Cricetulus griseus: one gene and its partners. The protein of the gene in region 2 interacts with the protein of the main gene of each other region in a pairwise test. Links are inferred from orthologs where the notes say so. Each region holds a gene or a part of one and is shown on either strand. Other genes may lie near its edges.

Region 1 (7,419 bases), about 170 Mb from region 2:
CCCTGGCCCACATCTTATTTTCTAATACCATTATCCAGTAACAGAAACCAGAGAGCTATGGAGGAATGGCTGATTCTATAGCTGCGGGAATATATCCATGACACACACGCGCCCTCTAGTGGCCAGAAGTTTGTGCAAAACTAAAGTAGAATTGTATTATAACACGAAGTATAAAATGAACATTGAATGTGTAAGTATATGAAGGAGAATATATAAATCTCATATATGTAAAAATAGCTCATAGCTTATGTAGATATTTTTCTATTAAGGAGGTAAGGATTTTCATACAGTATAGTTACTCAGAAGCTAATATACATTATTTTGTAAATTTAACACTTGTATATTCTAGGACACAGTGATTTATATCTCTAGATATATAAGCTATAGAAAGTCTTACCCATGCATACAAGAATGCTTATAATAAAAGAAAAAGAAAAAGCTAGATATGGTGGCACACATCTTTAATCTCAGCACTCAGGAAGCAGAGGCCATCAGATTTCTGTGAGTTTCAGGTTGGCCTAGTCTGCAAAGCAAGTTCCAGATCAGTCAGGTCTACACAGTGAGACCCTGTAATGAGAGAGAGAGAGAGAGAGAGAGAGAGAGAGAGAGAGAGAGAGAGAGAGAGAGAGATATGTGCTTCCCATGCAGAGGCCAAGACAAATGGAAATGCTCATACAGTGGCATAAGTCGACACTGTGGAGAGCTCAGCAACATGGATGAACCTCAATACACTATCAACTGAAAAATACAAAGCTGCACAACAACACATAAACATCATGTGCTTTTCACAGAACACAAAACCAACTTAATTCAAGCAATGTACTTGGTAGGAACACACTGATTGTTAAAAGATAATGAGGCCCGGGAGATGACACACAAGGTAGAGTGCTTGTCATATAGGTTTGAATGTCTAGACTGTGTGCAAGTTAACACACGTCTGATTTTGTAATCCCAGTGTTTCTATGATGAGATGAGTGGAAAAGATTATTTTAATTAAAAATAAAAAATACAGGCCTGGAGAGAGAAGTGGCTGAGCAGTTAAGAGTGCTTGCTGCTCTTCTGGAGGACCTGAATTTGATTCCCAGCACCCTACTAGGTGGCTCACAACCACCTGTAACTCATTACCAGGGATCCAATATCCTTTTCTGGCCATTGTGGGCACCCTCATGCATATGCATACACTCATATGAATGCCTTCCAGCTCCCACCGGCTTGAACACACACACACACACACACACGTAAAATAAATCTAAAAAATAAAAAAATAAAGGTGAAGATATGATGGGAGTGTAGCTTATTGGTAGAATGCTTACTTAGCATGTACGTGAGTTCAACCTCCAGGACAAAAAAAAAAAAAAACCAGAAACAAAACAGAACTCAGGGGCAGGAGCTACCAATTGGTAACTAGGAGGCAGAATATAGATGGTTTGCAGTACAAAAAATGGTTCAAGTTTCTGTCTTAGTTAATATGATTTTTGTTTTAAAAATTTACATATGTTCTTTTGTTTGCATAAAAAATATTTTTAGATACTACAGTCTTAAAAATAACAAGGCCAGGCATGGTGGCACACAATTTTGATCCCAGCACTTGTGAGGCAGAGGCAGATGGATCCCTGTGAGTCTGAGGCTAGCCTGATCTACATAATGAGTTCTTGGCCAGCCAGAATTATATGATGAGACCCTGTCTCAAAATAAATAAATACAATAAACTATCTGTTAGCATGCTATACCCACTGTTCTTGTTCCCCAGTACAATGTCCTGGAGATTATTTCATCAATTAGAATGAGTCTGCCTAATTCTTTCTGATGGCTACATGGTAGCCCGAGGAGCCTATTCTTGGCTGCTTTTGCCTTACCAAGTATTTGAAACACAGTAGGTATGAGAATGGGGTGAGGGTAACCATTCTAGGTCTCATTGTCCAGGCCTGATGGTTAGCTGTTTTAGCAGACCTATAGTCACCATAGAACTTTTACCTACCCCTGGAGGGTGAGACCAGTAGCCTGGCTGTATATGTTTCTATTGTTGTGGCAACAAGCAGAGGCAACCTGGAAAAAAACGTTTTCTGGAAGGGAGACAAAAGCCAGTTGGATGGGGCAACCTCAGAACTTGGAGTCTAATTACAAATCACGTGTCCATAGCTGAGAAAGTAAAGCTGTATGTGACTCTCCTTGTTATTAACAAGGCTCTGATGACACACCCAATCCACAGGCTTTGCCTCCAAGGCCTCTATTTTCCTTCTATAAAGGAGAATTCATCCAGGATTCTCTCCCAGGGTCATGAGTAAGATGAGTGAAGTACCAAAATTTAAGAGCCTATCAAAAAATTCAAGGTAACTTCAAATCTCAAGATAAATGTTTTAAAGATTTTTTTTTAAATTATGGGTTGCAGCTGGGCAGTGGTGGCACAGGCCTTTAATTCCACTCAGGAGGCAGAGGCAGGTGAATCTCTGTGAGTTCAAGGCCAGCCTGGTATACAAAGCTACACAGAGAAACCCTGTCTTGTAAAACAAAATTGTGTGTTGCAGAGTGTGGTGGTGCACACCTTTGATCTCAGAGGCAGGCATATAAGTATGAATTTAAGGCTAGCCTGGTCTACAAAGCAAGCTCTATACGAGCTGAAGCTGTACAGTGAGACCTGTCTCAAAAACAAAACAAACAAGCAACAACAGCCAAAATGTGTGTGTTCCCCCATGGAGGCCAGAGATCCAGTACCAAGGATCCCTTGGTACTGGAGTTAGTTATAGGTGGTTGTGAGCTGCCTAACAGTGGTGCTGGGAACTGAACTCTGATCCTCTGGAAGAGCAGTGGAGGGTCTTAGCCACTATCTTCTAACCCCAGGATAAGTTCCTTCTTGAAAATATTACAAGTTTTATTTTCCAGTCACCAAATGGTGTCTTACCCAGAAATCAAGAATAAAGTTATCAGTCAGAATAAACTCACAAAAGAGATGAAGTAGGCACAAATCCATCAATTACCAGGCAAGCCAGCAATCCACCTCTACCTGAGGAGGTCTCCAAAGCCCCAGCGCTTCCCAAACAAGAGGAAAATAAGGAGGCTTGAAAGAGCATTGAATCAGCTACATCTTTATTACAAGATTTCGAGGTGACAGAGATATGCTGATAGATGGGCAGATATATAATAAATTCATAAGTTAATAAAGTAAATAGTAATTCCTAAGATAAATACTTTAATAGTCTTTGACAATTCAGAACTAAAGCAAAATATCCATAATGAACAAAATAGAAAACATTTAAATAAAAGCACAATGTAGCTGTGCACCTTCCCAATCCTATTCTACTAATTATGGCTTTTAGTCCAATAAAACCTGATTTACAAAAACAACAGGAAAGCTGGCTCAGTGGTTAAGAGCACTGGACCAGGGTTCCCTTGCCAGCACACACATGGCTGCTCCCAAAAGCCTGTAACAACTCCAGTTGCAGAGGATCGACACCCTCTTCTGGACTCTACAGGCATTACATGCTCATGAAGGATGTAAATGCACACACGCACGTATAAAATAAAACCTTTTCAAAACCATCTATTTTGAAACACCCCCCCAGACCACCCACTAAAGTGTGTTTTTTAATTTTTATTTTAAATTGTAGTAAAATGTGTATAATAAAAAGTTATAGCACTTCATCAATAAATTTTCAAGCATCTAGATGCGCATTCACGTGGTACAATGATATAATTCTTTTAAATACTTCGTTATTATATACTGTGGCTGAATTTGGGGTGACTTTAAATTTTTCATCCCGCACTAGACTAGACCTCTGCCCTGTTGCTTTTTTTCTTTGACGCCTCTTGAAACTGCAGAGCGTCCCCGTTCAATCCGCTGGCACCCACCCGCAGCCGGACACACCTGGCGGGCACGCCCTCTACCTGCCCGGGGCCACCTGGCGTCCGCTCTCCGCGCCCAGCGCTCCAGCTCCGGTCCCTTGCGGGCCAATGGGGAGGTGGCTCCGGGCACCAGCCGCGTCCCACCGAGTGGCCAATGAGAGCACGGCATGCAAATGAGCAGGTGCGGTGGCGGCCGGCCCGTTGCGGCGGCCCCGGCTCCCGAGATGTTAGAGGCGCGCTGGGCGGCCGCGGAGCAGACGGCAGGGCTCCGAGATCCGAGCTCCGTTCTCCCGCCATGGCCCCCGCTCCGCCCCCCGCCGCCTCCTTCTCGCCCGCCGAGGTCCAGCGGCGCCTGGCGGCCGGCGCCTGCTGGGTCCGCCGCGGGGCCAGCCTCTACGACCTCACCGGCTTCGTGCGGCACCATCCGGGGGGCGAGCAGCTGCTGCGGGCGCGGGCTGGCCAGGACATCAGTGCCGACCTGGATGGGCCACCTCACAGACACTCGGACAATGCCCGCCGCTGGCTGGAGCAGTACTACGTGGGTGAACTGCGAGTGGACCCTCAGGTACCAGCCGGCCCGGGGCACACCCCGCTCCCTGCTTCCGACCCCTCCCCCAGCCCGCCGCTCCAGAGAGCCCAGATCACCTGCCCTCTTGGAGAATGCAAGGTGACAGCTGCTGCCCTCCAGTCCCTCTGCTTCCCCGGTTTCTCTCCAAGTAACAGGTCATTGCCCCCTTTCCTATTGCCAGGAGCCTGCCCTTCCTCTTTCCAGCGCTAGCCCCTGACCTGGCTGCATCCTCCTTCCAACAAGTCCCTTTTGCAGCCCCTGTCCCTTTCACAACTGGGATTCCTGGGCAACTTGGATTCCCGTTTCTGGCCCCAGCCACCACCACCCCTTTTCTTTCTTCTCTTCCTTCTTCTTTATCGGCCTTTCTGGCTTCCTTTCTAGTTTCAATAATAGGTTGCTAGGCTCACCTGTCCTCAGCTTCCAGCCCACCACTCTCTTGCTTCAAGGAGGCACAGATGGATCTAAAGTTCTGCTCAGCTAACCCCCAGGGCTCCGGTGGGTGGGTGGAGGACCTGGATAGCATTCTATAGATTATATCCTCCAGCCCCTGGTTTTATTTCTATCCTAAATAGTGTTGCGGGTGTGAAAGAGTGAAATTACGTGCATACGCCAGCTTGCTAAGGAAAAGAGTTCGGTACTTCTAACCCAGGCTGTGTGTGCTAACCTGTGTACTGTTGTGTGGCGGCTTGGTTTTTTACCTTCAACTCACCTCATTTTAGGATGTGAAAACAGAGGTTCTGTGAGGTTCTATAAATGTCTGAGGTCAAACGACTAGGTAGTACAAAAATCAAGTGTTTCTTACTCCAGAACCGAAGTCGTCTCCATCCCAAGCATCCAAAGGCTGGGAAACATAGTCCCTATCTACAGAAGTCTTGGTAGACTTAGGTTGGAGCCAAGCAGATGCCTTGTTCCCAAACCTGACATAGGAGTGGTGACAAGTGATTGCTCCTTGTTGCTTACTCTTGCTTTTTTTCAAGTGCTGTTAGATCTTTGTATGAAAGGACAGGTCATTCGCTGTTCAGGAGATTTCTCTTGCCATCTTATCTAATCTTTCTTTTATTCAGTCACTTAGTTCTTAAATGGATAACACTGTGCTAGGCACCCCAACTGACATTAAAACAAACATGGTTCCCATTTTCATGGAGTAAACATGCTAATGGGGAAAGGAAGGACCATACTACCCTCACGATAATTATTTAAATACATCTTATTAATATTTATAATAGTTACATATTGAGTCTGGGTTGGAGAACAGGTTCAGTAAGAGGTACCTTGAGAAAGTGACATTTTACCAAGAGCTAATTGAAAGCTCAGCTAGACAAAGTGGTGGGAAGAGCATTCCATACAGAGGGACAGTATGTATGGAAAAAAAAAGTGTGGCACAGTCAAGAGGGAGCATTAGAATCAAGGTGGCTAAGGGTTATCAGGCAAAGGAAAGAGGTGGGAGCCAGAAGTCACTGGGGCTTGATCATATGGGCCTCAAAGGCTGTGGTTCTGGGCTTGACTTGTAGAGCCATGGAAAGCCAGGGGACTTAAGCCTGGGAGTGGCATAGAAAGATTTGCATCTTTGGAAGAGTATCCTGGCTTCAGTGACAAGGAATGGAGGGAATTCCAGAGGATGTAAGGAGACCAGCTCATCCACCATGAATAGAAGGGAAAGGAGATTTATCTGAGAGATTTCACAAAGTGTCCAGAGTTGGCAATCTCAAGGGAGAGTCCAGTATAATACAGGAAGCTGGTGCTTAGTATTAGGTCTTGCTGAAGTAACAGAAAGCTTAGCAGGAAATACAAGAAAAATTGAGTACAGAAATTGGCAAGAGGTTAGGATCAGAACACTAGAGGACTGGCAGGTCTGTGACAGTTCAGGGGCTGGCCCTGTGTTGTAACTGTGTTCTACAGACAGGAACCAGAGGGTGCTGCCTCTACTCAGTACCATTCTGAATGTCACTCCTACCAGCTGCCCTGGATGGCCCCACATACCTCTTTTGCCAACCACCCAGAAATTAGGGTTTGGTTTTGCTTTGTCTTACCTGCCTGACCCCTAGGGAAAACTCAGGGGCAAAAGCCAGTTCACCTTCACTTCCCTAATGTGGTCATATTGCAAATATCCAGGTTTCTGAGTCCCAACCTGAGGATGTAGAGAAAACTAGAATCAGCCTTCAAACCCACAGACCAGATTTAACCAGCAGCCACAATCACCTGACATTCCAGTTTCCTGTCACTCTGTTAGCAGAGCTCAAATGTAAAAACTAGCAGAAGGTTCTCCTTATTTTAGCTTATTTTTGGTGGTTTTTGCTTGTTTTTTTTTGTTTGTTTGTTTCATTTTGTTTTGTGAGATATCTTGCTATTTTAGGTCAGGCTGGCCTTAAACTCAATCCCTGTGCCTAGGCCTCACAAGTAATGGGACTGCAGGCATGTTTTACTATACCAGGCAAAGTTCTCTTTAAATTGAGGGAGAAAGGTAATCAAAGAAGAAATCAGCTAGGGGTGGGGTGTCCATTCAAATGACTGGATAAGTCCTTCTAACAACCTCTATGTTACCTTCTCTAATTCCCTCCTTTCCTGCGGATCAGGGGTGCTGATATCTCTGGAGGTAAGAGCCCTTTCCTGTTGTGTGAGGAGCAGAAAGGAACTGCTATGAGCTCACTTTGTTGTCCCTCTCCTAGGGACCCTTCATTAAGCACTCTATATCTTCTCCCAAGGAGAAGACCCAACCCACTATTCCCCTGTTCCCCACTTTGCCACACCCCCATGTACATACTCACACATGCATTCACACTCACACAAAGGCACACACACAGAACAAGTCAGACTTGTTTGAGCTAACATACTGTGGGGTAGGGGAGATGAGCTGCTCACCTTGAACAAGTGAAAGAGCCTTGGCTGGTGGGGGAAGCTGGCCCTCTCACTGTCCCTGGCTGCCAGAGGCCAGTTGGATCAAGCTTCCTAGCATAATCCCTGACAGCTGTGCTCTCCCATCTGTGCACACGAACCCCAGATTTTTGAGTTTC
Region 2 (7,274 bases):
GTCTGGAGAACACTGGCTCCTCTTCCAGAGGTCCTGAATTCAATTCCCAGCAACCACATGGTGGCTCACAACCATCTGTAATGAGATCTGATGCCCACTTCTGGAATGCAAGCATTCATGTAGCCAGGACACTGTATACATCATAAATAAATAAAAATCTTTAAAAAAAAATAAAGCTTCAATCTCAGCACTCAGGAGGCAGAGGCAGGCAGATCTTTGTGAATTCAAGGCCAGCCTGGTCTACAAAGCAAGTTCCAGGACAGCCAGGGCTACACAGAGAAACCCTGTCTCAAAAAAACAAAACAGGAAAAAAAAAAAAAAAAAAAAAAAAAAGACTTACTGGATGGAAAGTATTAGCTCCTCACTGTATGTTTTTCTCTAAGAGGTGCTAGTACTACTCTCTGTATCTAAAAACATTAAGATCTCATCATTTCAACTGATGACATCCCCATTTTATTAATACTGTCATTTTCCTAGTCAGCCAAGTCTGAAAGCTTGGAGTTGTCTTTTATCTTTTGGTTTGGTTTGAGACAAGGTCTCACTATTAACCTAGCCTAACCCAAACTTGCCCTTGCCTCAGTTTCCAACGTCTGTTACAGATATGTATGTACATGGCAATCTTCTGTTTTTTAAATCAAGTATCAGTGTTTCTTTATGATGGCAATTCTATGCCTGTCATCTGAATGATGGATGACTGGCAAACTCTAGATTCAGTAGCTCTAGAGTCTGGATGCTCTTAATAATAAGCCTTTATTGGGTACTTGTTGCTCAGAAGTTGCTAACCTACATGGAAAGCTCAGAAAGTGTTTTGGTTTTATTTCTGTTGTTTTAAAACAGTCTCACTGCACAGACCTATGCAGGCCAGTTAGCTTCAGACCTCAGTGCTACCCCTTCCTTTGTGTCCTGAGCTAGAATTACAGGTGTGTGTGGCCTCACTTGGCAGACTTGAAAGTAACACAGGCAAGTCAATAAAGGTGTTCACCTCAGATTCTGAACATGTAATTATTGTTTATTTTTTTCCCAGAAATAATGCATTTTTTAAGTATCAAAGTCATTGGTTGGACAGGTAGTGGTGGCACGCTTTTAATCCTAGCACTGGCGGCTGAGGTTGGGGGATCTTTTTGAGTTGAAGTTCAGCCTGGTCTACAGAGAGTTCCAGCAAGTTCAGGACAGGCTCCAAAGCTACACAGAGAAACCCTGTCTTGAAAAAACAAACAATCATCAGTGCAAGGATTTGCCATAGGTCCATTTTGATGGGACTTGACTGGAGTGAGGTTAGTTAGCACCATAACCTTGGGCCTGCTGTTCTTTGTTTCCCAGCTTCCTGTCTTTCTTCACTCTCAGTGAGACTGCTTTCTGGTATTTTCCTGCACTGGAGTTCAGAAATCCTTCCACTCTTGTCCAGTTGTCTCATTTCTGCCCTTAATGAACTGGGATGACTTTATTTCCCACGTGCTCATACATCTCTAAACTACCCTTTTTTTTTCTTTTTCTTTTTCTTTGTTCATATACACATGGTGTGGGGTTTTTTCCCTAAACTTTATATACAAATTATTATTATTGTGTCTGTTGTTGTGTGATGAGCTCAGAGAACGACTTCATGGAGTCGGTCTCCACTTTTCACTTCTATGTAGAATCTAGGGATATAATGAAGTTATCAGGCATGTCCTCAAACACCTTTACCCACTGAGCCGTCTCACTAGGTCCACATGGTGTGAAATTTAATAATTCGCAGTGAGATAAAAGTTTCAGGGATCTGGATAGACGGCTCAGGCTAAGGGCCCAGGCTGCTGGTCCAGAGGACCCTGGTTCGATTCCCAGCACCCATGTGGCAGTTCTCTAGCTCCAGTTCCTGGGGATCCGATGCCCTCTTCTGACTGCTGAGGGCACCAGGCACACGGGATGACATGCATGTAGGCAAAACACCCAAGCAAATAAAAAGTCCATCTCCTTGCCATCCAGTTCTTCTATCAGCAGAAAAGAGCACCCCAGACTTTAATCTGGTTCTAGCCTAGCCTACCATACTCTCCACCGTTTTTCCTTCGCGGAAAAACAAGCCTTCACTGTTCACGTTGGCCTCCTGACAAGACAATCCGGATCTCCACTCTGTTCCTGTTCCTGTTTCTGGGTGGCCTTCAGAAAACACTCTGGTGTAGCACAAAATACTCAACCCAAGCTTGAGTGATTAAATACACAGATTCCTCCGCTGGACGCACACCCCTCGTTCCTCGAGTCTGGTCTGGCAGCTTCCTTAGTGCAGGATGGGATGTGCAGCTGAAGAACGCGCGTCCCTTGCCAGTTAGGCTAGATACAGACCGTACAAGGATGAAGGGACAACCCCTACTCTGAGGGGCTGAGTCCTCGGGACCGGAGCGCCAGCACTAGCCCCGGTCCCAGGGGTCAACGCCAGCCAAGCGACTTCAACCGCCCGCGACTAAGGCTTTGGGAAGCACCGCGCTGGGTGCGCCTAGGCCAATTTTGTCCCGCCCGCTCACCGTCTCGCGAGTCGCGGGCGGGGGCTGCGTCGCGTGCGTCCCCGCGCGCGCAGCCGCAGTGCCGGGAAGGTGGGCGGGGCCGGCTGTTGGCAGCAGTTGGCGGGGCCGGGAGGCGGCTGCACGTGCGGCCGGGGGCGATGCGTCACTGACCGGTGAGGCGCGGCTGAGGGGTCGCGGTTCCCCGGGTGCCCGAGGCCAGGGCCGTCCCCTGTTGAAGCCGTCCTCCGCCGGGGGAGCCGGGGCAGGGGTGTCACGACGTGCGCCGAGCCGGGGCCGCCGGCGGCGGCGGCGCGGGGGCTGGCGAGGGGCGAGCCAGGGGCCGGCGCGCGGGGCTTCCCGCCTCAGCCCGCGACCGGACGCGGGCTCTTCGCAGGGTGGGGACCGGCCTGTCACTCAGGGCACTGAGGCTCCTGTGCTTCCCATGCCCAGGAGGGACAAGGATGAACATGACTCAAGCCCGGGTTCTGGTGGCCGCGGTGGCGGCGCTGGTGGTGGTCCTCCTCTACGCCGCCATCCACAGGATCGAGGAGGGACACCTGGCCGTGTACTACAGGTGAGCGAGCGAGCGAGCGCCCCGAGGCGGCCGCGCACGCGCCGGTGGTCCCGGGGCAGCGAGCGCTGCAGCCCTCGGAAGGGCTTTCGTCCCAGCTGCTGGCACAAGTCACCTGTGGCCGGGCACCTTCGGGTGCCGGGCAGCTTAGGGCCAAGTTGGTTCTGTGCAGAGCTGGAGACTCCTAAGGAGGGAAGGAAGTTGTCACTGCAACCTAGATGACTTGAATTCTAACTCGTAGTCCGAACAACTGTACAGGTGTTTGCTTTGCCACTGTAGATGATGCTTTTCGGGATCTCTGGTCCTTCTTCAAGTTGTTTTTTTATTTTGTTTTGTTTTGTTTTTTGCTTTTCGAGACAGGATTTCTCTGTGTAGCTTTGGACTTCAAGGCTTTTTTTTTTTTTTTTTTTTTTGTTTCCTTCATTAAAAATCTCCCAGTATATCTGGTTATGTCTCCCAAAATCTTAATGAACATGACACTGGTGTGTCCCTAAAGTCAAAAGAGACAAAAATCACATTTATAGGCCACCTTTCCCCCTTTTTTCCAAGTCAAGCTGAGGAAGAGTGTGGTCAGTGTTGCCGCCTGGTTTACTCGGCATAGCTTTTCTTCGGTATGAACTACCACCTGCTCCTTTTGGTATGGACAAATCGGGATAGGAGTTTGTTTAGAAAAAGCAGATTTCTGCTTATTTCCATCACTCCCCCCCCCCCCACACACACTGGTATTTCTACTTTTAGATCCCTCCTGAGTCCTAGAAAAAGTACGATTTTGGTGGTATGTCTTAACAGATGGAATTCTAGCATAAGAAGTGCCAGCCTGGACCACATTTCTGTCCAGCTTGTCATTTTCCTTCCAACAGGGGAACCACAAAGAGAATATATGAAGATATTACTCCCCCCAAAATAAGTGATGAACCTGAAACAGTTTATCTTTTTAATTATGACTTTCAAACCTGTTTGTACATTCAGGGCAAGGATCAATGTGTGAATTTACTATTCATTGAATAAAATAGGGCTTTTTTGATGTATTTGTCCCTAAACACCTATTCTTCATCATTTCCAGGGGGTGTTTTCAAAGTCCACATGGTCCAGAATCTGATGAACAAATGTGTGTCTCACCTATACTCTGAATCCTCTTGCCATCCATCTTTCCATGCTTTTTTTTTTTTGTTTCCTTTATACAGACAGAAGCTCTGTCCTAGGATTTTAATGATGTATTAAAAGAGTCATTAGCCTCAGAAATTTTCCTCCTTTGAAAATTTGCTTTCCTCTTTTTTAAAACTTAGTGATTAGATGTATTGTTTTGACTTGGCCTCTTGTTATGTGCAATTAAGATACCTTAATTGAGAGTCATTAGAGTTTTTCCATAAGTATTTGTCAGAAAGCTAAAGACCTACCGGAGAGGATGTGGGCCCAAGAGCAGTGCTAGAGACCCAGTGGTGTGGTTGGTGGAGCTTATGAAACAAGGTGCAATATTGGCAGTTGACTTTGATGTATTTTCACATTTTTAAGTGTGATGGATGTTTTAAGTAGCAGTTGTTAATCTTGAGTAACTCTGTTGTAAGGCCATTAGGTTAGTAACATGAGTAACAGTGAATGTTTACTATAGCATTTTAGAATTGGGAAGAGAATTTCTCTTACTTGCAGTTTTGTCAACCACGACATCTTTTTGCAGGGGCGGAGCCTTACTAACTAGCCCCAGTGGACCAGGCTATCATATCATGTTGCCTTTCATTACTACGTTCAGATCTGTGCAGGTGAGTGACTCCTAGGGACTCCAGATAGACAGGTGTGACAGGAGTTACCACACTTGTGGGTGGAGATGGATTTCCTTATTGCTTAAGCAAATGTTGTTATTTACTTAATGTGGAGTGAAAGTTCAGAGTACAACTGTCCTAACACAAGCATTGATTTCAAACCTTCTTGCCTTAAAGTGAGTTGAAAGTATGCATTAGGCAGCTTATCAAGACTTACTCCTGCCATCTATACAATGGTGTTAGCAGGTTTTCTGTTACTTCAGTCAAAATAAAAGTAAGAAGTGGGAACACAATTAGGAATACAAATCAGTAATTACTTGGTTTAGAACTGTTTGGTTTCCATAGAGGCAGGCTCCTAGGCTACTGTTAACATGGAGGAATGAATTTTTATACACAGCTTTTCGGGCCTCACATTTTTGCCTGGTGCATTAAACACAAATTTATGAGGAACCTGAGTGCATATGGTACTTTAACATTTTAGGATATTTGAATTAAGTATCTGGTTCTTGCATAAAGTATCTTGGCCATAGGACACAGTTAATAAATAAGCTTGATATTACAAGATGGCAAAATAGGATTAGGCTCTAACTAATTTTGCAAACTCAGTGATATCATAAATCTTTGAATTCTGCTACAGATTTTTCAGGAAACAGGAAAAGTCAATTTTATTAATATTATCACTGAAATTTTCAGCTTTGTGCTAAGTAAGAGTTATCATGAATAGCTAACTCTCCCAGGTTTCTTTCCAGTCCCCTTTTAGGGCTTGTGCCTAGTAAGGTGAAATATGGTAAACATGATTTCTTTCTCTAGTCACAGTGATTCCAAGATTGGCCTCCCATATTTTATTCATAAAGTTTTTTAAAATTTAAAACCATATTTTACATATAGTAATATAGTTTACATGTTAAACAGCATTATGATAGAATGAATTGATACATTTTTTAATTTATTTATTTTTACTTTATGTGCATTGGTGTTTTGCCTGCATGCTTGTCTGTGTGAGGGTGTAAGATCTTGGAGTTACAGACAGTTGTGAGCTGCCATGTGCTAAAAATTGAACTCTGGTCCTATGGAAGGGCAGTCAGTTCTTAACCAGTGAGTCATCTCTTCAGCCAGAATTGATATAGTTTTCAACAAAAGGAAAAAAAGTGAAATGTGTTAGGTAACAAAACCTCTCCCTTAGAAAAAAATGTTTATGTTATTTTGTAATCAGTATGACAAATGTATCCAGTGACTAATAATGTCCAATTCCTATTGCACTTTCTGTTCCTTCTTGTCTTGGTTAATGTTGTCATTCTTTGTTCACTATCTCTTCTTCTTTCTACCGCCCTAATCTTGCAGTCTTTATAGGCTCATCCCAGTCTCTTTCCTCTTATCTTAGCTCCCCAGCAACTCTTTACTAGTCTGGAAGTTAGCAACAGCATCATCAGACTCAGAGATCAGGTCTTCTTAGGTCTTGTTCAAAGCCAGGTAAATCTGCCTTTGCCTTCCTGAAACTCACTGTTAAGTATGGTGCAGCAATAACATAAAGTAGATATAAATAATAATAGTAAATAGATTTTAATTATATGTATGTAGCAAATGTGCATGATAGTAATAAACCGTCAGAGATGAAGTGAAATTAATAAAAAGATTTCAACATAAAGTATTCTAATTTGCATGTTTAGGTTGTTAATTAATTAAAATTATATTTTAGAGCCAGTGTAACAAAATAGGAATGTTCTTTCTTGTGTTAAAAAAAAAAAGCATTCTCGGCAAGAATTGTATTAATAAAACTTTTTTTAAAAACTTTATTTTATTTTTATTTTGTGTTCATTGGTGTTTTGCCTGCATGTATATCTGTGTGAGGGTATCAGAAGCCCTGGAACTGGTATTACAGACAGTTGTGAGCTGCCATGTGGGTGCTGGGAAATGAACCCGAGTCTTCTGAAAGAGTAGCCAGTACTCTTAACTGCGGAGCCATTTCTCCAGCCCCTTAAGAAACTGAAACTTTTCTTAAGAACAATCATAAATTTGTGTTTGGGGACTTGGGGAACATATTGGGAGATGCAGTTCTATTTAAACAAATGGTTTAACAGAATTGATAATTGAAAGGACTAATGTACAATGGATGTGAAATTCCATACATAAGATACAGAGACAAAGCAGTGCTTAGAGAAATTATATAAAGTCCATCAGCCTTTATACACTTTATAAAATAAACATTCACTTTCCCCTCTTTTTATTGAGACATGTTTTAGTGTATAGTCCAGCCTAAACCCAAACTTGCAGTGCAGTCTCCTGAGGGCTGTGATTACACATGTTTGCCACCATGATATTTCTTTCATATTGGGAAAATAATTAGGTGTATAGAAATACATAGGCTAGGATATTAAATTGAAAAGTTATTGTTTAACTCCTAGTTTTTCTTGTTTGAAAGTTGGCATAGAATAGTGAAAATTGCCTTAATTTAATGCTTTGAAAGAAATAAAA
Region 3 (7,262 bases), on a different chromosome or scaffold from region 2:
TTTGTTTTGTTAATTTTATTTGGTTTTTAAAATAGCTTGGTTTTTTATTTCTTTTCATTTCATGTGCATTTGGTATTTTGCCTGCATGTATATCTGGGTGAGGGTGCTAAATGCCCTGGAACTGGTGTTACAGACAGTTGTGAGCTGCCATGTGGGTGCTGGGGATTTAACTTGTGTCCTTTGGAAGCAGCAGCCAGTGCTGTTAACCACTGAACCATCTCACCAGTCCCCTAAAGTTTTATTTTAAAATACAGAAATTTTCAATATTGAAGAAAATGGCTTACATTAAATTTCTTTTCAGAGATACAAGTGTGGTGTCAGGAAATGCTAGCTGGCCAATGTTGCTAAAGCCTGATGGTAGACATGGAAGTTGGTGCTTCCCAAAGGCATCAGACGCTGCTATAATGTAGTAATGGTCTGAATTCCTCCAGATGCCTGTCCCTTGCCTGTCTCTTCCAGCTAGAACTTAAGGACTCTCGGCAAGTCACATGCTGACCAAGGGAAGCACTACTCAGTCCCAAACAACAATATAGACGCTATACTGCTTTGAAAACAGTCAGTATCTTTTTTGCAACATCTAAGAAAGGTTTTCACTTTTGAATATAAAGAGGTGCTTGACAATAGTACATAAATATGTAATAAGTACATAAGCACTTGGAATTAAGAATTACTGAGTTCCTCCTCAATTCTGAAATTGGCCTGAAAATCCATAGATGTGGAAGTTGCACCATTCTCTTTTCTTGATGTAGATTTCACATATTCATCTATTCCTAACACCAAGGACTTTCCCAACACTCTCCAGCTTAAGTTTTCTTACCTCTTCCTCTAAGATCCCAAAAGATTCTGAAGCAGTTTTGAACTTTCCTCGAGGAGGATGAAGCCTCACAGCCAATCTCAGGTTTTTTAAATTTATTTTATTATTATTATTTGCCACCTATAGTGTATCTGGAGACCTTCTAGAAGCTGATAGGACTCTATTGTAGGTGGCTTTTCAACTTCTCTAGTGCGACTTTCGACCTGATTGAAGCTGACCCTCACAAAGTGGGTTTTCTGTCCCAGGCTTTCCATGTTCCCTGATAGAATCTGCCGTAGCATTCATTCCGTCTTCCAGGTAAAAGACGGCCAGACCTTAAGGGAGCAAGACAACATTCTACAATGTTTCATGACTTCCTAAACTGTAAGAACCAAAACGGATAGTGTTACCCAACATGGTCACCAGTTAGCAGAATTTTTAGAGCCTGTTGGATGGAAGGAAGTAATTTCAATAAGACTAACCTGGGATGGCAAACACCATCAGTTCAGAGATGGGACAGAAGAGACATCACTGGGAATGAGATCATACTGCCAAGAGAGGGACAGGAAAGCATCTAGAGAAACTAGGCTCTATAAACCTCCACTGAGCTGTGTCCTCCGAGATCTCAAATGCCATTTTTATACTAACTGTTATAATCACCAGGTGTTTCGTGAGACCAAATTATTGTGTCTTACTAGTCTTTCCATTTCCCACAATTCTTAGTGGAGCTAAATATAGTCAACTCAAACATAATCAAATTTAATAACCAATTATTAAATTTGGGCTAGGAAATTTCATTATTATGGTGGAATTCACTGCCAAATAACACATGTCAGCAGCAAAAATGTTTTAGGAAATTTGAATCAAACATGAAGAATATCTGTACATTTCCTTCCACTCTGTTCTTCAAATGTTTACTTTTAGCAATGTGACGGTACACAGCAGTTTTTAATGGGAAGCACTGCAAACTGATGGGCAAGGCCAACTGTTGGGAAGCCCGGGGAAGTTATGTGACGACAGAGCACTGAGAAAGAAGCAAGGCTCATCCGAGTTCTGCTTTGCTTCCTATCCAGAGCTGCAGCAGTGAGCTCACTTTGCTGTAGAGTTAAGGGGATGTTTTCAGGTATTCAGCCCAGAAAGATGAAAAGACAAAGAGCACTTGTGCGTGCCAAGAGTCAGCTTTGCCTTGCATGCTGCAGTGTGAAGGTGATTAATGAACAGGATCATGTTTTGAGTTTCACTGGGAAGCTACCCACACCACAGTGACCTCAGGGCCAGCTGGGTGCCCTCAACCTGCTCTTGAATGTCATTCTGTGCCACGATATCCAGAACTTCACAAACTTAGTATCTACTAAGATGGCTCAATGTTCTTAAATGCTTTAAAAAAACAATCCCAAAAGATTTTATAATGTGAAATCAAGAGAACTGGTTGGCATGGGGTTTATCCAAATATCTTTTAATAGCAAACTGTTGGAAATGACCAAATTCTGAAAATTATTTTCTGCCATCTAGCTGCCTCTGAGTGACTTTCTAGAAGACACGATGCTCCATTCCACTTTGGCCCTCTGCCTCTTGATGATTACAGTTTCTTCCAACCTTGCCATTGCTATCAAAAAAGAAAAGAGACCTCCTCAGACACTCTCAAGAGGTACGGTAATCTCACTGGAGTTTCAAAACTCAGTCATTTCAACTGTTCTCAAAATACCTAGTATATTCATTTATAGTTTGATGATAAGCAAAAAACTAGATATTTGTTATGTGTGACTTTAAAACAGATGGTTATAAATGGGGATAATCTATTTTAGACAGTAAAAACCCAAATTTCAAATAAATAACAGTCCTTGGGTTTGGGGTTTGCTTGCTTTGTTTTCAAAACAAAGCCTTACCATGTAGACTTGGCTGGCTTGGAACTTGTTATGTAGACCAGGCTCGCCTAAACCTCATAAAGCTCTGCCTGCCTCTGTCTCCCAAGCATTGGGATTACAGGTGTGCACCACTGTGCCTGGCTCCATAGCCACAATTTGCTGCATCCTTTGCAGACATAAAGAACTGACTTGGTATCTATAGCTTTGATTAACTATTTAGACATTTGCCTTTTGCTTCAGCTTCAGAAAATCTTCTATTTTCTTATACTTACAGTTTTACTTTGGTTTAAGAAACAAATAAATCTTCATATCCAAAAGAATAATAAAGAAACAGTCCTCAAAATTAGTTTTTTTTTTTTATTTCCATGGAGAAAAATACTGAGAATCATTTGTCCCCACACAATTGATTCAAACAATCAGAATGGCCACGCAGTGCTTGTCTGCTCTTTAGACTGCTGCTCTAAGCAGAGTGTACAGTGACAATCCCCCGCAGGTGGCTTCGAGGCCATTTGTTTCTTCAGATCTATAGAGTGCCAGCTGTGTGCCCATATTGTTTACCTAAGTGAAGTAATTCAACTTTAGCCTAGCAACCACAATCTATATGTCTAGAAAGGCAATATATATTGAAAATAAATAAAGGGTAAAATCATTTCCCTGGATAAAATTTATCACATAGCTCTCCACACAAACAAACAGTTATAAAAATAAGTAGCTTAGTGAAATTAAACAACCCAAGACTAAATTACTCATTGCTCTTCAAGCTGGTCCACAGTGGAGCTCAGTGGCATCGCTATGACTGTGGTAGAAGATATTCCAGGCAGCCCATTTAGATGCTGATCGAAAAATCTGCAGCAAAGGTTTATTACCCTTGTGTCAAGGTCAGAAGACAACTAGCTGAACTTGCTGAATATTCTCTCCTTCCACTATTTGAGTTCCAGGGACCAAACTCCAGTCATCAACTGGAGTTTGATGTCATCCCCTGTGTAGGGGAAAAGGGCCAGCCAAAGAAACATACTTTGGCCCTGCAACCAGAACCAAAGAAATGCCCCCTGACACTGAAACCAGTGCCAAAGAAACACACTTTGTCCCTGGAATCAGAGCCAGTGAAAGAAATATTCCCTGGTCCTAAAATTAGAGCCAAAAAGCTACAAAGGATGAGTAAAAGAAGCACACTTTGGCCCCGAAACCAGAGCCAGATCTGGCCCTGAACATGTGCAGAAAACCAACTAATCCCTGAGCAGGGAATCATTTAGCCAATCTGAGGTCAGGGATTGAAATCTGACCAATCCCCACCCAGGAAATCTTCCTGGGAAAACTCCACCCCTTAGAAGCCCTATACAAACCCTGTTCCTGTTCAGCTCGTGGCTGGCTGGCTGGCTGTCCTCTGCCAGCACCTCTCCTGGATACGTCCCTCCTAATAAATCTCTTGAATGAGGTTTGGGTAAGACATTCCTTCACCAGAGGAGAGAAGTAACAACTCTTAGCCAGAGCCAGAGCAGAGCTGAGTGAGCTGAACTGAACTGTAACAAGTTCTCTGGGGAAACCCTCCCCTGCAGGAGCAGAGATGATACACTAGGGAAGAATTTCCCTGGAGCAGGATTATAAGCTGCTGTGCTTCTGTGACCTGAGGTATCCCTTGGCTCCCGATTGTCAGAATACTTCCCCACCTGAACTGTGACACTCAGTATTCTTTGGCTCCCAAGTGCCAGAATCCCTGTACATCCAATCTGCCATAATACTTACAGCCTGTACTGCCATGCCACCTTTCTGGCCTCCTTTTTGGCAAATTTTATGAAAATGAATTGGAGTACATTTGTCTTAACTTTGAACAGCTTGATTCTACAACTTCAGTTATTGAGACACTGTTTGAATAGAGAAAATTATTACTAATGCTGTGAGTCACTGCATTGAGAGCTGGCTTATATTTGGCTGTCTGTTTCTGTAGGGAGCCGTTCCTGCATTCTCCATTACAATGATGGTGCCTGAAGGCACCGAATGTAAATTATTTCACAGGCGCTGGGTAATTTCCATTCCTTTGATCTCTGCCTATCCCGTGGCTCATTTGGCCTGAGGAGCTGAAGCCATTCATAGGGTAACACGTCCCAGGCGACTGCTGCCAGCCTTTATTAAGGAATGGGATTCTTGGCCCGGGGTCTCCGCTCTGGTAAGCTTATGCTCTCCTCTCAAGATGCATTAAAGCTTTCCTGCAGAAGGATCCGAGTGTCCTGTGTGATTCTTGCCGGCGAGGCCATAGCGCGGGACATCTGGACTTCTTTAAGATTGCTACAACAGTGAGAAAGGTCAAAATGGCTCCTAGTAAAAGCACAGAAGCCTCTACACTAACCTCCCAAAATAGCAACATTCCCAAGCCAAAGTCCAGAAAAGACATACCTCTCCGAATTTACCACCCTGCAGTTCTGAATCCACCCCGTTAGGGGGTCTCCGCAGTGCCGGCGATGTTAACAAGTTCCCGGGTTTCGGCACCAGATGTCCCGCGCGATATTCTCGCCGGCAAGAATCACACAGGACATTCAGATCCTTCTGCAGGAAAGCTTTAATGCATCTTGAGAGAGGAGAGCATAAGCTTACCAGAGCGGAGACTCCTGCCCAAGAATCCCATTCCTTAATAAAGGCTGGCAGCCCGCCTGGGATGTGTTACCCTATGAATGGCTTTAGCTCCTCAGGCCAAATGAGCCACGGGATAGGCAGAGATCAAAGGAATGGAAATTACCCAGCGCCTGTGAAATAATTTACATTCTGTGCCTTCAGGCACCATCATTGTAATGGAGAAAGCAGGAACGACTCCCTACATGTTTCTATGTTAGAAATGACTGTGAAAAGGAGGGGGAAAGGCAGGAGCCGGTGAAAGGATTCTGAGTACCTGTGTACAGAGCAGCAGAGACAGTCTGAGTATCATATGCACAGAGCAGCAGAGATGGGGCCAGTCTGAGTACCTTGTACACAGAGCAGCAGAGATGGGGCCAAACAGTTCATGGCAAAAATGAGTGAGACAAAAACAGAAGATAGTGAGGAAAATGAATAAGATTAAAACAGACACAAACATATGGGGACCAACATTTCCTATGTCCGTTTAACAAAAGAACACCTAGGACCTGGTCCAATGACTAGCATTCAGCAGATACTCAATAAATGCATAGCTGATGAATGAATAAAATCACAGAAAACCAAAAGGCATAGCCAAAGCTAGATACAAAAATGTAGCTATGAATCTAGACCTGGAGGAAAATTTAAATTCTGTCCATTTGGCCCATGGTGATTACAACCTAGACTGTTGGAAACATGCTCCTCTGAAGAACTATGGGTATTTGGGAAGTTATATTATTGTTCCTTCTATTCCCATGGATTGGTGAATTAAAACAAAACAGATGACTTATTAGTATCTGTGGAATTAAATTGAGTGGGAAATGAGAACTGCAATGTTTCCATTGCTAAAGCTCTAGAATTTGAGTGACATTTACAACAGATGGAAGGAGCTAGAGATATTATGGCTCTGCAGTTAAGAGCATTGGCTGCTCTTCCAGGGGACCTGGACTCAAGTCTCAGCACCCACAGGGTAGTTCATATCCTCTATAACTTCAGTTCCTTGGAATCCAATTCTGACCTCCGTGATTACCAGCCACAAATGTAGTGTATATACATACATGCAAGCAAAACACCCACACAAAAAAATTTAAATATAAATCCTAAAACCAAATACAAGCAAAGAAAGAAAAGTAATTAAAGGCTGCCCACATCCTTGAGTTGTCCTCTGAGCTCCACATTTGGGCTAAGGCACATTATCCCCCACATGCAAATAAATGGATAAATAAATGTAATTAGTTTTAAAAAACCTATTTGCTTTGAGATGGTGAGAACATTCTAAAATTGATTGTAGTTTTGGCCTTGTAACTCTGGGAATATACTACAAAGAATGTGCACTTTCTATGAGTGAATTGAATCATTTGTGAATAACATCTCAATAAAGTTATTACCAAAGAACCAATAAAGGAAACAAGAAGAAACACAGAATCATGTTTATCTTACTTCATGATTCTGCCCTTGATTACAGCTGTTACATACCTGTGGTATCAAATCTACACACAGCAGGCTGACATTTGGACATAGGAAAACTTGAACTTAACTAGACTCCAAATATTTCTTTCATGAAAATTCAGTCTTTCTCCAGACTTTGGAAATCTCCCATGGAGGGCCTCACCCTCCCTGGGGAGCAGAGGGGGGATGGAGAGGGGAGTTGGGAGGGTTGGTGGTAGGAGGAAGGGAGGGAGAAGGAACTGGGATTGACATGTGAAGCAAGCTTCTAATTTAAATTTTAAAAATTAAAAAAAAAGAAAATTCAGTCTTTCTCATCTATCCCTGGGTCAAGTCTTAAACACTCTTACAATATTCCTGTATGCTCTGTACCTTCTATTTCTTGTGTGCTTTATTCTTCAATCTCTAGCACAAATTCCCAACTGCTGTTGTTTTCTTTTCAAGACCAGTGGAGTATCTGTAATCACAGCTTTCTCTTTCCCTCCTTTCCACTCCATAAATGTTTCGTGTGTGTGTGTGTGTGTGTGTGTGTGTGTGTGTTCAAACATGAAATT

The links. The genes of interacting proteins can lie anywhere in the genome.
Region 1: the proteins of Erlin1 (region 2) and Fa2h interact in binary tests that used the Homo sapiens proteins (3 or more experiments, as listed by UniProt). The two-hybrid records come from large-scale screens. The link is inferred for Cricetulus griseus from reciprocal best matches to the Homo sapiens genes ERLIN1 and FA2H.
Region 3: the proteins of Erlin1 (region 2) and Agr3 interact in binary tests that used the Homo sapiens proteins (3 or more experiments, as listed by UniProt). The two-hybrid records come from large-scale screens. The link is inferred for Cricetulus griseus from reciprocal best matches to the Homo sapiens genes ERLIN1 and AGR3.

The regions. Positions count from the first base shown.
Region 1 is NC_048596.1:187,795,890-187,803,308, reverse strand, and holds the start of Fa2h (fatty acid 2-hydroxylase), read left to right. Parts: upstream 1-2,492; 5' UTR 2,493-3,994; coding exon 3,995-4,405; intron 4,406-7,419. UniProt on the Homo sapiens protein: Catalyzes the hydroxylation of free fatty acids at the C-2 position to produce 2-hydroxy fatty acids, which are building blocks of sphingolipids and glycosphingolipids common in neural tissue and epidermis.
Region 2 is NC_048596.1:17,481,981-17,489,254, forward strand, and holds the start of Erlin1 (erlin-1), read left to right. Parts: upstream 1-2,548; 5' UTR 2,549-2,647; intron 2,648-2,669; exon of another isoform or gene 2,670-2,916; coding exon of another isoform or gene 2,917-2,935; coding exon 2,936-3,048; intron 3,049-4,720; coding exon 4,721-4,802; intron 4,803-7,274. UniProt on the Homo sapiens protein: Component of the ERLIN1/ERLIN2 complex which mediates the endoplasmic reticulum-associated degradation (ERAD) of inositol 1,4,5-trisphosphate receptors (IP3Rs).
Region 3 is NC_048598.1:165,786,555-165,793,816, reverse strand, and holds the start of Agr3 (anterior gradient protein 3), read left to right. Parts: upstream 1-2,335; coding exon 2,336-2,441; intron 2,442-7,262. UniProt on the Homo sapiens protein: Required for calcium-mediated regulation of ciliary beat frequency and mucociliary clearance in the airway. Might be involved in the regulation of intracellular calcium in tracheal epithelial cells.